Macaca mulatta: one gene and its partners. The protein of the gene in region 2 binds, or shares a complex with, the protein of the main gene of each other region. Links are inferred from orthologs where the notes say so. Each region holds a gene or a part of one and is shown on either strand. Other genes may lie near its edges.

The links.
Region 1: the proteins of PTPRG (region 2) and CNTN4 are in contact, whole or in part, in a crystal structure (PDB 3KLD), measured with the Mus musculus proteins. The link is inferred for Macaca mulatta from reciprocal best matches to the Homo sapiens genes PTPRG and CNTN4. Residues at the interface, in NP_033007.2 of Mus musculus: Lys222, Val225, His226, His227, Lys229, Phe288, Thr290, Gln293, Asp294, His295, Val296, Lys297, Ser298, Val299, Glu300, Tyr301; in NP_001103219.1 of Mus musculus: Thr128, Arg129, Ser130, Val132, Ser133, Arg135, Gln138, Gly139, Met140, Val141, Leu142, Leu143, Cys144, Gly145, Val219, Met220, Gly221, Glu222, Tyr223, Glu224, Pro225, Lys226, Glu228, Leu250, Asn304.
Region 3: the proteins of PTPRG (region 2) and CNTN6 are in contact, whole or in part, in a crystal structure (PDB 5E5U), measured with the Mus musculus proteins. The link is inferred for Macaca mulatta from reciprocal best matches to the Homo sapiens genes PTPRG and CNTN6. Residues at the interface, in NP_033007.2 of Mus musculus: Val225, His226, His227, Lys229, Phe288, Thr290, Gln292, Gln293, Asp294, His295, Val296, Lys297, Ser298, Val299, Glu300, Tyr301; in NP_059079.2 of Mus musculus: Arg129, Val132, Arg135, Gln138, Gly139, Val140, Val141, Leu142, Leu143, Cys144, Gly145, Met222, Gly223, Tyr225, Glu226, Pro227, Lys228, Glu230, Leu252, Asn306.

The regions. Positions count from the first base shown.
Region 1 is NC_133407.1:140,836,273-140,840,465, forward strand, and holds the start of CNTN4 (contactin-4), read left to right. Parts: upstream 1-1,348; 5' UTR 1,349-1,471; intron 1,472-4,193. UniProt on the Homo sapiens protein: Contactins mediate cell surface interactions during nervous system development. Has some neurite outgrowth-promoting activity. May be involved in synaptogenesis.
Region 2 is NC_133407.1:125,783,234-125,786,805, reverse strand, and holds part of PTPRG (receptor-type tyrosine-protein phosphatase gamma), read right to left. Parts: coding exon 3,417-3,572; intron 1-3,416.
Region 3 is NC_133407.1:139,852,282-139,856,567, forward strand, and holds the start of CNTN6 (contactin-6), read left to right. Parts: upstream 1-1,431; 5' UTR 1,432-1,533; intron 1,534-4,286. UniProt on the Homo sapiens protein: Contactins mediate cell surface interactions during nervous system development. Participates in oligodendrocytes generation by acting as a ligand of NOTCH1.

The DNA of each region.
Region 1 (4,193 bases), about 15 Mb from region 2:
AAAAGCAAAAGACAAAAAAACCAAACCAAACCAAACCAACATTGAATGAACTAATAAAGCTGCTGCACATACATGTTGGAGTTGGATGTTTATTTGCTTACTACAGTAGTTTAAAAATAGTTTTCCAGTTAACATCGTTTACACATAATGGAGATGTCAGGGTAGGTTTACATGATTGTGTAAGTGGTCAGAAGTTGTTTATGTAGCTCTGAACTGCTGAGAGATGAGCAGGAAGACCTGGGTTCAGCAAAACCCCTGGGGCTTTTTCCCAGAGAGAGAAACAGAGGCTCCTCTGGGTTGCTGGAAATGCTTTCCAGACGAGTTCGACTGGGTTGGCTTTTCTCTGCCTGTCAAAGTCACTTTGCACAGTGCTGGTTAGGGGCTGGGGCATTGCAGCCAATCTCTACGGTTACCCTGAGGTTTGGAGTTGGGGCGAAGGGAGCCACTTCTGCAAGGAAACAGTAGATTCATAATGTAGAATGACCATGATAACTTCGTTCAAAGCACATTCTTTCGAATAACAAGGCTTTCAACATGCCTCACCCCCGCGACCAAGACACCACAAATTGATCCTTGTACCTATTTTATAGCAACTGTTCCCTCTGACCTTCCCCGCCCCCCGCCCCACATTCCAACCTGAAAGCATGTTGCATGGGTGAGACTTCAGGTCTGTAACGCAGCCTGTCTAGCCAATGTCCTTCGCCTAAGGACAGGCAGGTAAAAACCTCCCAGAGCCCCTCTTCTGGCTTGAGTTCAATGCCACCCGCCCACCCACATTCCCTGGTTCGACAATTTTCAGCCCAGAGCAGAAGCATTTGTTTCCATGGCCAGTGCGCCTTAACGATCCCCCGAATTCCGCGTCTCCCGGAGGCCAGAGGTTCGGGTACCAAGGAAGGTCGCGCCTCCTGGTGCCCCGACATTAGGGTTGCAAACGAAGGAGAATCGTCTCGGCTTATCCCTAGCCGCTGAACAGCACAACCCCTACGTCGCTGCACGTTGATAATCTTCTCTTGCCTAAGAATCAGGAGAGGTGCCCTTTCCTAATTTCGCGCGTTGGGGACCTGGGGCTGCCTCCTCTCAGCAGCACCTAGCAGGTGCTGCGCCCCAGCGCTCTCCTTCTCCGGCCGCGCACTGAGCATGCCCGGCTCCGGCTGCGCGCGGGCTCCCGGCCTCCCGCGCCTCTCCTCCTCCCCTCTCGTCTCCCGCCCCTACTCACCCGCCCGCGCCTCTCCCCCTCCCCGCGATTCTCCCCCTCCCTGCGGCTAAGGAGCCGGCAGCCTGAACTCCGGCGCGCCAGGTTTTTCCAGCCGCCGCGAGCGCCAGGAGGGAGGGGAGCGCCGCACCAGACAGAGCACTGGGTTCAACACCAGGATTGGTTACAAGTAGGGAGCTTTCGCCACTACACCGGGCCCCTCGGACTGTGCCGGCGCGGCACCCGAGGCTCTCGCCAGCCCAGCGCCCAGGTGCTGAGGTAAGTGAGGCGCGAGCTGTTTGGGTCCGGCTCCGGCGTGGGCGCGCAATGTCCCGGGGACCTGGCTCGCGGATTTGGGGGGAAAGGGCAGGGTCCGCGCAGGCTGCCTGAAGGACAGAGAGGCTTCCTGGGGCTCTCACTCCTGCAGAGCTGGACGACGTCTATGGGGCCCTACAGCCCAGAGCCTGACAGCCCTGCAGGGTCGGACCAGCGGGAGCTGAACGCCTGAGCCCAGAAGGACTCAGGGCCCCGACGACGCCACCGTCACCCCACAGCGACCCTTCTTCTCCTTCTTAGTCAGAAAATAAGTTTGTTGCGCTGCGAGGCAGCCACAAAACAAGGAACCCAGAGCCCGGAATGCTTCGGGAACCCTTAAAATCAGCTCCTCCAACCGGTTCTGGCCACTGCCCCTTCTCCGTGCGCCCTCACCTCTGGCGCCGGGTTCTTGGCGGGGGTTTTCTTCTGATAGCCCAGTTACAGCCCACAGCAGAGGGAGGCGAACTTGGGGTTTGAAGGGAATTGGGACTAAAGGAACAGGAGCTCGTAGCCGTGATGGAAGGAGCCGTGTGGAAACAGACACTGATTTTTGGAGCGTCCACTGTGTGCCAGGCTGGGTGCTAAGCGCTGGGGCTACGGCGGCGAGTGACAGACCAGGTGCCTGCTCTTATGGAAGGTACCTGACTCCCCAGTCTCTGCCAGGGGAGCTTGTGGGGTGGCATTCGTTTCCAACAACTTCTGGGGGATTTCCAGTTTCTTTTGAGGGGCAAGACAACCGTCTTGTCTCCTCCCCGGACCCAGACAGCAGCGAGCTGTGCGCCAGGCGCCCCACAGACACCAATCCACTGGCGCTCCTTCTGGAACGGAGGGCTCAAAACCTTCGTACATTTTCTCTCTTGTGCTTCGTGTATATATTTTACTATTTATGAAAGGTGTGGAGGTGAGGGTAGGAGGACGTGGGCTCCTGAATCTCTCTGAACCAGCCAGAGAGTCGGCTGCATGAAAACATTTTGCAGCACAGCGGAGCTCCTGCGAGGAGGCGGCTTCGCGCATCGGGAAGATAAGGCGGTTGCTTGCTGGCCAGGGTCTCCAGATTTGGTGCGAAAAAGCTTGCGGAGGTTGTGTAGGGCGAATCAATGTGACTGAGCACCTTGGGTGTGTGGTCTGCGTGGAGGAGAGTGGGCTGGATCTTGAGGTGTGTTGGAGCTTTATTTGTAAAGAGGAGTTCCTGAAAGGAATGTTCGTGGAACTTTTTCTAGTTTTCCTGCTGGAATCAACATAGGGGCGGGGACATGTTTGTCAGAGTAACAGTGTCATTTAATTGCATGGGAAGCTCTTGCAGTTTACTGTAGTGGGAGCTGTATAGTTTAAGGAGTAACGCCACATAACTGAGTCGTTTGGACACCCACGTAGGATAATTTGGAAAGTGCTTGTATTTTTTTTTTTTTTTTGAGGTTTGTGGTTTATGTCCTTTACGGAGTGGGGTAGGAGCGTAAAGACTGTGTAGGTTGCGTATGAGCAGGTCCACACAATAGCGTTCCCAAGTCTGGCTAATAGCAAGTTTGTTCTGTCTTTCTCTGTCTCTACCCAAGTGGGTGAAAAAGAACAGTGTGTCATGAGGACAGGCACCTTGAAGTGATTTGGGTGGCATTCATGAGAAAATTCACATGTTACCCATAAGTTTATTCTTGCTATTGTTATCTTGATTTCTTTAAAGATTTTGTGGGAATCTCTGCAATGGGTCGCAGGAGTAGGTAAGATTGTAAGGATCAAAAACAAGTTTCATGAGACTATTATATTTGCTACCTTATGAAATAGCTATTGATTTGTTTGTTGAAGCTGGTTTCAGCTGCTCTGTCTTGTTGAGGAGAGATGATGATGATAAACCTCATTGTTTTTCCATCTGAACCCTGGGAGGTAGCTGGCAAGGATGGAAAAACCGACCTTTTCAGTTAAAAACTAAGAGTCTAAGAGAAGTGACTTGTTTAAGGGTGCGTGTCAGAGCCACATGTAAGTTTCAACAGAGGTAAATTTTCTTATTTGCAGTTTTTTTTTTTTTTTTTTTTTAAACAACACTTTTCAGTTTCTTTGAGTTGTAAAACTTTTCAAGTCAATTGGGAGTCAATTCAGTACCTTTTTCCATAGTCATTTCATATTGGCAGATAATTAAGAGTGATTAGAGAACAAACCTTTCAAATGATGTTGGATTTTTTATCATTCACTTATTTTATCTACTTCTGTCTCCTTTTTGTTCAAAAGTAGGTCTTCTGATTTCTTTTCCGCTCTAAGCACTAAATCTTTTGGCTGCAATTTTTCTTCTGAAATGTATACAGGACATCCATTCCTTCAATTTAGGTCTTAAAAAAATAAAGCTTCTCAGCAGAAAATTCCCATGCATGGTACTGACTTTTCTACAAGTTTGTCTGATTATGATTTTAACTTGTTGGTTTTTCTTTGTTATATTTGAAGACAGACATAATATACATTAGCTTCAATCTCTCTTATCTTAAAAAATTAATATTTTGTACAAACTTGCTTTTATATTATTTTAGTTGAATGAACCTATTTCATATGATAGGCGGGGGTTGTCTCTACACACTGATTTTTTTGTTCTTTTTTGTTCATTTTTCCCTATAATGCTATGTTTTAAGCCTAGTGAAGGAGGCAAGGAGGCAGGATTTACTGCCTAGATGTATCGATCTTCATTATTATTGGTTACTATCAG
Region 2 (3,572 bases):
ACATCTTTTACTAATCGACAGGCACATGCATATTTCTGCGTAAACCAGGGATTGGCAAATGACAGATTGTGGACCATATCAGACCAACTGCCTGTTTCTGCAAACAAAGTTTTAATTGAAATACTATCACATCCTCTCAGCTGTGTATTGTCTATGGTGGTTTTTGTGCTACAAGGCAGAATTAAGTAGCTGCAACAGAGACCTGTGGCCTGCAAAACTGAAAAATATTTACTCTCTGGCCCTTAGCTGACAAAGTTTGCTGATCTCTGGCTTAAACAATCATCACCACCATTTTTAGATTTGAATTGCTTGAAGTTCTGAAGGAAGTTTTTTTAGCTTTCAGAAGAAGTGGACCTTCTTACTGAGCTGAAGGTGATAAGGGAAAGCTCTGATTTACCAGTGTTGAGTTTCAGGAGGAGGTCTTTTTTTAATTTTTTTTTGGAGACAGTCTTGCTCTGTCATCCAGGCTGCAGTGCAGTGGCATGATCCTCTCACTGCATCCTCTGCCTTCTAGGCTCAAGTGATCTCCCACCTCAGCCGCCTGAGTGGCTGGACTACAGGCATAAGCCACTATGCCTTACTAATTGTTGTATTTTTTCTAGAGACACGGTTTCACCATGTTGCCCAGGCTGATCATGAACTTCTGGATTTAAGCGATCCAACCTCCTTGGCCTCCCAAAGTCCTGGGACTACAGGAGTGAGCCACGGCACCCGGCCATCTGGATGTCATTTTTAATGGCAGTTACTTGGGGACCAATAGCTTTAATGTCCACAGATGAGAGCAAAGGAAAGGGCTATGGGGGGCCTCCTCACAGTCACCATCATTGTGTGGCAACTGGGCTGCTGACAGCTCCTATTTGTCAGTGACAGCGAGGGGGTCTCCACAGCCACACCACCTTTGGCATTAAGCATGATCATTAGCTCCACTTGGCAAATGAGTACACGGGACTAAGACTTACCTGAGGACCCTGGGTGAATAAGGGACAGAGCCGACTGCGTTGATCTGACTCCCAAAGCCACTCTGCCAAGATTGTAGATGTTCTCAGATTTCTGTAGGGTGGAAGCTGAGGACCAACACACCTCATACCTGGAGTAGGGAGCCCCCAAAGTTTACCATCCGTTTCTTCTCCCCTGTCTCTGGAATCTGGAACCTGACTCCAATGGCAAGAACTCATTTCTACTTACCTGGGGCGGTCCCAGTCCCTGCCTCTCTCCCATCTCTCAAACTGTAAATACTCCCAGCCTAAACTCTCAGCAGCCATATTTTTCAGGAATGTGGTCAAACAAATGTTTAAGAGGAGCAGGCTGAGAATGCTACTTTGCCAGAGTCCATAGTCCAGAGGCTGAACACTCAAGCTTGAAAATCAATTCCAAGTCCACCACCTGTCTTTGTAGAAAACACACTGGTCCAAGCCACCATTACTACTGCCTCCTAAATGGGCTCCTTTCATCCATTCCTGCCTTCCTATATCATCTCCACGCAGAGGCCTGAGTGGTCTTTCAAAAAATCAATCAAGTAATGCTGCAGCCGAAATCTACCACTGGTGGCTCATTTCTAGTTGAACGAAATCCTCAGCGTGGTCAACGAGTACCTTTCCAGAGCACCTCCATCAATCTCTAAATCCATCCCCTTCTCTCCCCCTCACTCTCCCTGGTCTAACCACACTGGCCTGATAGCTCCTCAACTAATCCAAATTAATTCCCCACTGTAGGGTCTCTGGACCTGCTGTTCCTGCAGCTCAGAATTCCCCTCCCTGGATCTTTGCATGGCTAGCTCCTTCTTACCACTTGGATCTCTGCTCAGAGGTCATCCTTGACCACTCAAAGCTACACTGTCCCTCCGCTCCCCAACCGCAGCAGTTAAGGCTACTTAAGGGTATGTATTTGTTTACTGGCATATTCTCAAGCTCCCCTACCAGAACGCAAACCCCAAGAGAACAGAAGTCTGTGTTGACCTATGTTCTACTCCCAAAGCCTAGCTTGGTGCCTCTTATACAGTGGGCATTCCATACATGTTTCTTCAGTATCTTCAAATGCAAGAAATTCAACTTTTTCAAAGTAATTCCTAGAGGGAATGTCACTGTTCATACAGAAACAGCTTCCCAAGTGGCCCCATATTTCCTTCACTCAGTTCCACAAAAGGCTACTCTGCACCTTTCCCCAAATCACAGCAAAAGTGAGCAATACCCATAGGAGACCTCCACTTCAAAAAATTAGTTCATACTAGCTTTAAGAGGAAAGTAATTCAAAACATGAAAATTTATTCTAAGTTGTATCTTAACATACGAGATCTCAGCTTTAGATGAATTTTAATGTTTACAAGTGCAAAAGCAAATAAATATTTACCAGTTGCTTTTTTTTTGCACTCTTATAACTCCACAACAGCTTAGACGCAAAAAAAATTGTTGCTAAACATCTTGTAGTCTGGCAAAATGAAGAATTTCTTATTAAGAAAAGCCCTCACAACAATAACAACTCCTCATGCTTATGGCTCCCTTGCAGAAACTATCAGGATGGTTCATTAAGATTTGAGCATATGACAGAGCAACAGAATTGCCACCAGGAGGGGTAAGATGAGGATCTCATGCCCTGGCCTCACCGTCTATACACTGGCTCATTCCCACAGCAATGGGAGCTCTGGGGAGAGAGGGCTGTATTTCTTGGGCAAGGACCATGGGCTCTCCCAAGCTGAAGCCTTTCATTCTGTAGATTTCCATGAACATGTCACTTCTCCACAGTGGCCTTTCTTAGTTAGGGTAGGTCCCTATCCTCTCCGTAATTCTCTTGGACAGCATCCTGTGACCATTTCACAATTGAAAACTTCAGTTAGCTAGTTTTCCAAGTTGCCAGTTAACCATCTAGCTTGCCAGTTAACCATCTAGCTTGCCGATTAACCGCCATCTAGCTTGCTGGCTTTCTAACGTTCCTGTTACCTAACTTCCGGGCACACGCTCCAGCTAGCTGCTGTCTGTCATCTTTCTGCCTTCCCCTTTAAACTTTCTAGTCAGGGACCAGGCTTCCCTGGGACAGCACCCTACCCAGTCCCTGGCACCAAACTAGCCATTTATAGATACATTATATAATGAATATGGAATGAAATCTTAATAAACGTCTTAAGATCGATGGCTTTTTAAATTCATTTATATCATTGCCCGGTTGAAGTCCCTGGAGTTATTCTGAGGCAAGAAAACAAACATCAAACAAAGACTTTCTCCAGCATAAGAGAGTAGGCTTTTGGAGTAAAATAGGGACACACATTCACACATTCACACGTGCGCACCTTTTCTATGATAGACATACGTGATTCTAAGAATATTAAGTACTTTCTGAAGCTTCACCTTCTACTCTCAATTTTGTGAAAACGGTATGACTGTTCACAGCAGCAGAAACCCTCAAAGAGGACCTGCGTCACTTACCTGGATTAACAGTGATAAATCTGCTGTCTTCAGAAAATCGGTCCCCACGGGACACAGGCTTTTTAGATGGCATTTCGGGCCTCTTGGGGTCACTCCCTGCATACTGCTCCTCTGTGGCGGTGGGGGGCACTTGGGTGGAGGTGACCACATCGGGGT
Region 3 (4,286 bases), about 14 Mb from region 2:
CTACGTAATGATTATTTTTCTTAAAACTCTGCAGAAAAGTCACCTTGGAATTTTTACAAGTAAAATATATTTTTATTCCTAAAGAGCAAGAAATACTTCTAACTTTTTTTAGAAGAGGTTCAATAAAATCAGATATTCTCTCTATAAAATTATTAGTCTAGTTTGCCTTCCTATGAATTGGGAGAAACAATAGCGTAGCCCATTTTGAGTTTACCTTGTATTAGGAAGCATCATCTCCTTTCTAAAGCCTCTTATAATGTTGGTTAGACCCTGTGAAGAAATCCATAGGACATAGTCATAAAATATAGTCATTGAAACCTTCTTGTTCATCAGGTGAAAGCAAACTGAGGCCACAAAATATCTTCTGACTTATTTCCATTTGATTTGGGAATTTCATTTTCTCAGTATCCACTTACTTTAAGATGCTAAGATTATAATTTCTTTGTATGCCAACATGAAAATAAGTCCAAACTATCATTCTTTTCTCATGCTATAGCTATGTTTGTATGAATTACAGTCTCTGTGTGCATACATGTATAATTCCTATTCCTTAGTTTTCATCCTTCAAGCAGTTCATCCCTTCAAAACCCAATGACAAGACCAAAACATATTAAAAAGTTTAGTTGGAGAGCCCAGGGTGAGACACAAAACCTATTTTTCCTCTTACAGAGCTCCTATGCAAACACACAGACACTTGTTCTCTGCCTCTGGAATTACAAATATGTTACTTGGAAAGCAGCAATACTCTTTTGGACTTGTTTAACTTCACTTTCTTTACCTGTCTTTGAGAAGCCTCATACACACATTTAAAAAATACAACTTAGAAAGGTTTTAGTGATAGTGCATACTATCATTTGATTTTATTTCCCTTTTCTCTTCACCTTCACTAATAGAAGGAGTTACTGGCATGCTTCAAAAAGCTTACATTTGAATACTGTCTAAATCAGTGCAGACCCTTGACCAGCTTAACCTTTGCTTGCAAATGACAATGCAGTGAAACCAGAGGAAGAAAAAAATTACTTCCTCTCCTGTTGGAAACCTAATAAGTAGTTAGTCTGACCCAGTTTTCAATAAGAGAGATTTTCTGATGACCCGGCAGGAGTGACTATCTCCAGTCAAAGAAAGAGGAGGGTGAATTTAATCTTTCATGCCACTGGAATGGCAGCTGCTCTCAGCTCTGTCCGATTCTGTGAAGGTTGATGAAGATAGAGCTGGCTTTCAATGTAGAAAGAATTTTCCTTTTGAATATTCCAAACGAGAGCTTTGCACATGTGCCTCAAGAACTGATTGTCTAGGCTCCGACAGGAATGCAGCAGGAGAGGAGCGTATTTCATGCTTAAGACCAGAGAAGAGCCACGCAATACTCAGTGGATAAAAGGCTTGCAGTCCCAGCTGGGAAAAAGAGTCCCATTATCTCCCAGCTGCATAGACATTCCATACGGCTTGGTTCTGCCTGGATGCACAGCATGCCTGGCTGAGAGCTTGAAACAGAGTTCTGCAGAAAAATTGTAAAGATCCCGAGACATTTCCCTGGTAAGATCTGTAAGTACAAAATTGTGCTGTCTGCTGCAATGAGAATATTGCTGGGCAAGCTGCAGCTTTTCTTCCTTTCAATGTCTTTGTATTAGCATAACAGGTAAAAGCTGGGGTTGGGGGAGAAGTCACTGCTTTATTGATGCTGTGTTTCTATGATGTTGATGTTTAAAATGCATTTATTCCTTGTGTGGGAAAAATGTATTGAATCTGTATTCCGGGAGGTTAGGATCAAACCAGGGAAAGAAAGACTACAGGTATATTTTTTGGTGTTTCACTAGTCTTTGCTGCAGTAAAACTAATGGGCAAGACGGGATGACAGTGCTAATTCTGGGACTTTCAGATGGCTACACGCCCTTTCTGTAACAGCAGATGGGAAAATGTGATCACTAAACGTTTTTTGTCCTTTTTTTTTTTTTTTTTTTAATCAAAGAGATGAGGGGTGGGGTTTGCAGTTTTCACCGGATGATTTAAAAGAATGGTTATAAAGTTTCCTAGCGGAGGATTTGGTAAGGGGAGCAAAGCAAGACTGGAGGTCATACGAGCTTACCAAATTTTGTCTGGCATTTTGCTTTATACCCAGCTTCAAGATAATAGCCTCTGGAGTTTCCTTTGCCATTTACACCAGTTAAGCTTGTCAGTATTAAGGTTCTTATAATACTTTATGAAAACTTTCAGAAGTTGATGACTTGGGAACAAAACTTTTAAGAGCTCTGAGATTAGACACGTATAACCCATTATGTTAATGGGATACTATAACATTGGGGTTTGGGGGGAAAATTGGAATTCATAGTTTTTGCTTCTCCAAATGAAAACTACTTATGTTTAAATAATCAGCATCCTGACTATGTCCTCTGAGAAACATTCACAGAATGACTAAATAGAAGTTATACTGAGAAAAAATAGACAAAACAGTAGAATCACACAGAATCAATTTGGAAAATGAGATATTCATAATTTTATCTACAGTGGTAATGTTTTCTGAAGATGTCTGTAAAAGAAGGAGCATATGCTGAATATTGAATTGCTTGTTTTGAGCAATTTTCATATATCAGATGGGTTTATCATCTTTTTATTGCTGTTGTTGAAGGTTTCACCAATTTATGTGCATTGTATTTTATAAGGAAAGAAGATGTTTAAGCAGACTCTTTTCCCTCCTCCTTCACACACATGTGTAAACATACACGTGTTCACAAAACAAACATAAACATACAAAAATACTAACACAATTTGTGTAAAAAATCAGAAATACAGAAGCATTTCATCTTTGATGTTTCAGTGGAGTTTCTTTTTCTTTTTTTTTCTTTTTTGTAGCAATAATCATGGCTGTGCAGTCCAAATATTTCAAATATATAAATGTGGAAACTTTTATATAAAGGTTTATATGAGGTTATACAAATGCATAACTTATCACATCTTATCAAAAAAGTCAATCATTTATAAACGACTTCATTGTGTTACTTCCTTTGAATATTTGTAGTGAAGGACCAGAATTTTTTTTTAGAATTTTTATGTAACTTTCCTTAATGAAAACAAATCCACTTGTTTATTTAGAAAAGGATTACATATTTTCTCTGAGTTTAGACCCCCCCCAAAAAAATCAATTATGTTGTGAAAAGAATGTGTGGTATATTAAATTGATTGCATACTTCTGAGTTGTGTTTTCTTTTTTAGTAAGTAAAAATGCTCAGTAGTATAATATTAAATTTGTACCTTTTAAATTCTTTTATGTGAGGAGAAGGAATGCAAAATATTTGCTTATTTATTCACTTACCTGTTTATTTTAATAGCATATTAATTGAAATGCAGAAGTATAAGTTCAACCCATTAAAAATGACTCAAACTATACATAAAAGTTCAAAAAGGAAACCCCATCACCTGTAAATAACAATCACAAAATTTGACAACTATCATTGGAGACATCCTGATGCCTAACTAAATTCAGATAGGGTGAGAGATAAATACTTTTGTAAGAACGGTTTCTTATTATACACCGTTTTAAAATTAATAAGAAATATTTAGATAATATAGTCAATAATAGATAGTCTTCTGTAAGCATGAGAGGTTATCCTACGCTTAAAAAAAAACCAGAAATATTGGCCGGGCTCTGTGGCTCACACCTGTAATCCCAGCACGTTGGGAGGCCGAGGCAGGTGGATCACGAGGTCAAGAGACTGAGACCATCCTGGCCAACATGGTGAAACCCCGTTTCTACTAAAAATACAAAAATTAGCTAGGCGTTGTGGCACATGCCTGCAGTCACAGCTACTCAGGAGGCTGAGGCATGAGAATCGCTTGAACCCGGGAGGCAGAGCTTGCAGTGAGCAGAGATGGCGCCACTGCACTCCAACCTGGGTGACAGAGTGAAACTCCGTCTCAAAAAAAACAAAACAAAACAAAACAAAAAAACCAGAAATATTGAGTTTGATTTTAGATTTTAATTAAACTGAAAAAAGAGAAGTTGAAACAACATTGAAGAAATTGTTGAATTTCAGGTATAGATTTCTTTCCAAGGGAGATATTATGTCCAGAATAATACCCATATAGCCAAAAATTTTGAACATAGAAATAGTTTGAAGGTTTTTTTTTGGATGCACGTCTATGTAGTAAACAAACTTTTATAACCCTTGTTATGATAGTTAAATGCATTTGAAAGGTGCTTTGTTGTCATCAACTCTACCCATACCACCTGAATTTAAACTACATCAGTTTTACATTATAGAGTATGTACATTCTGGCTGAATTCCCACTAT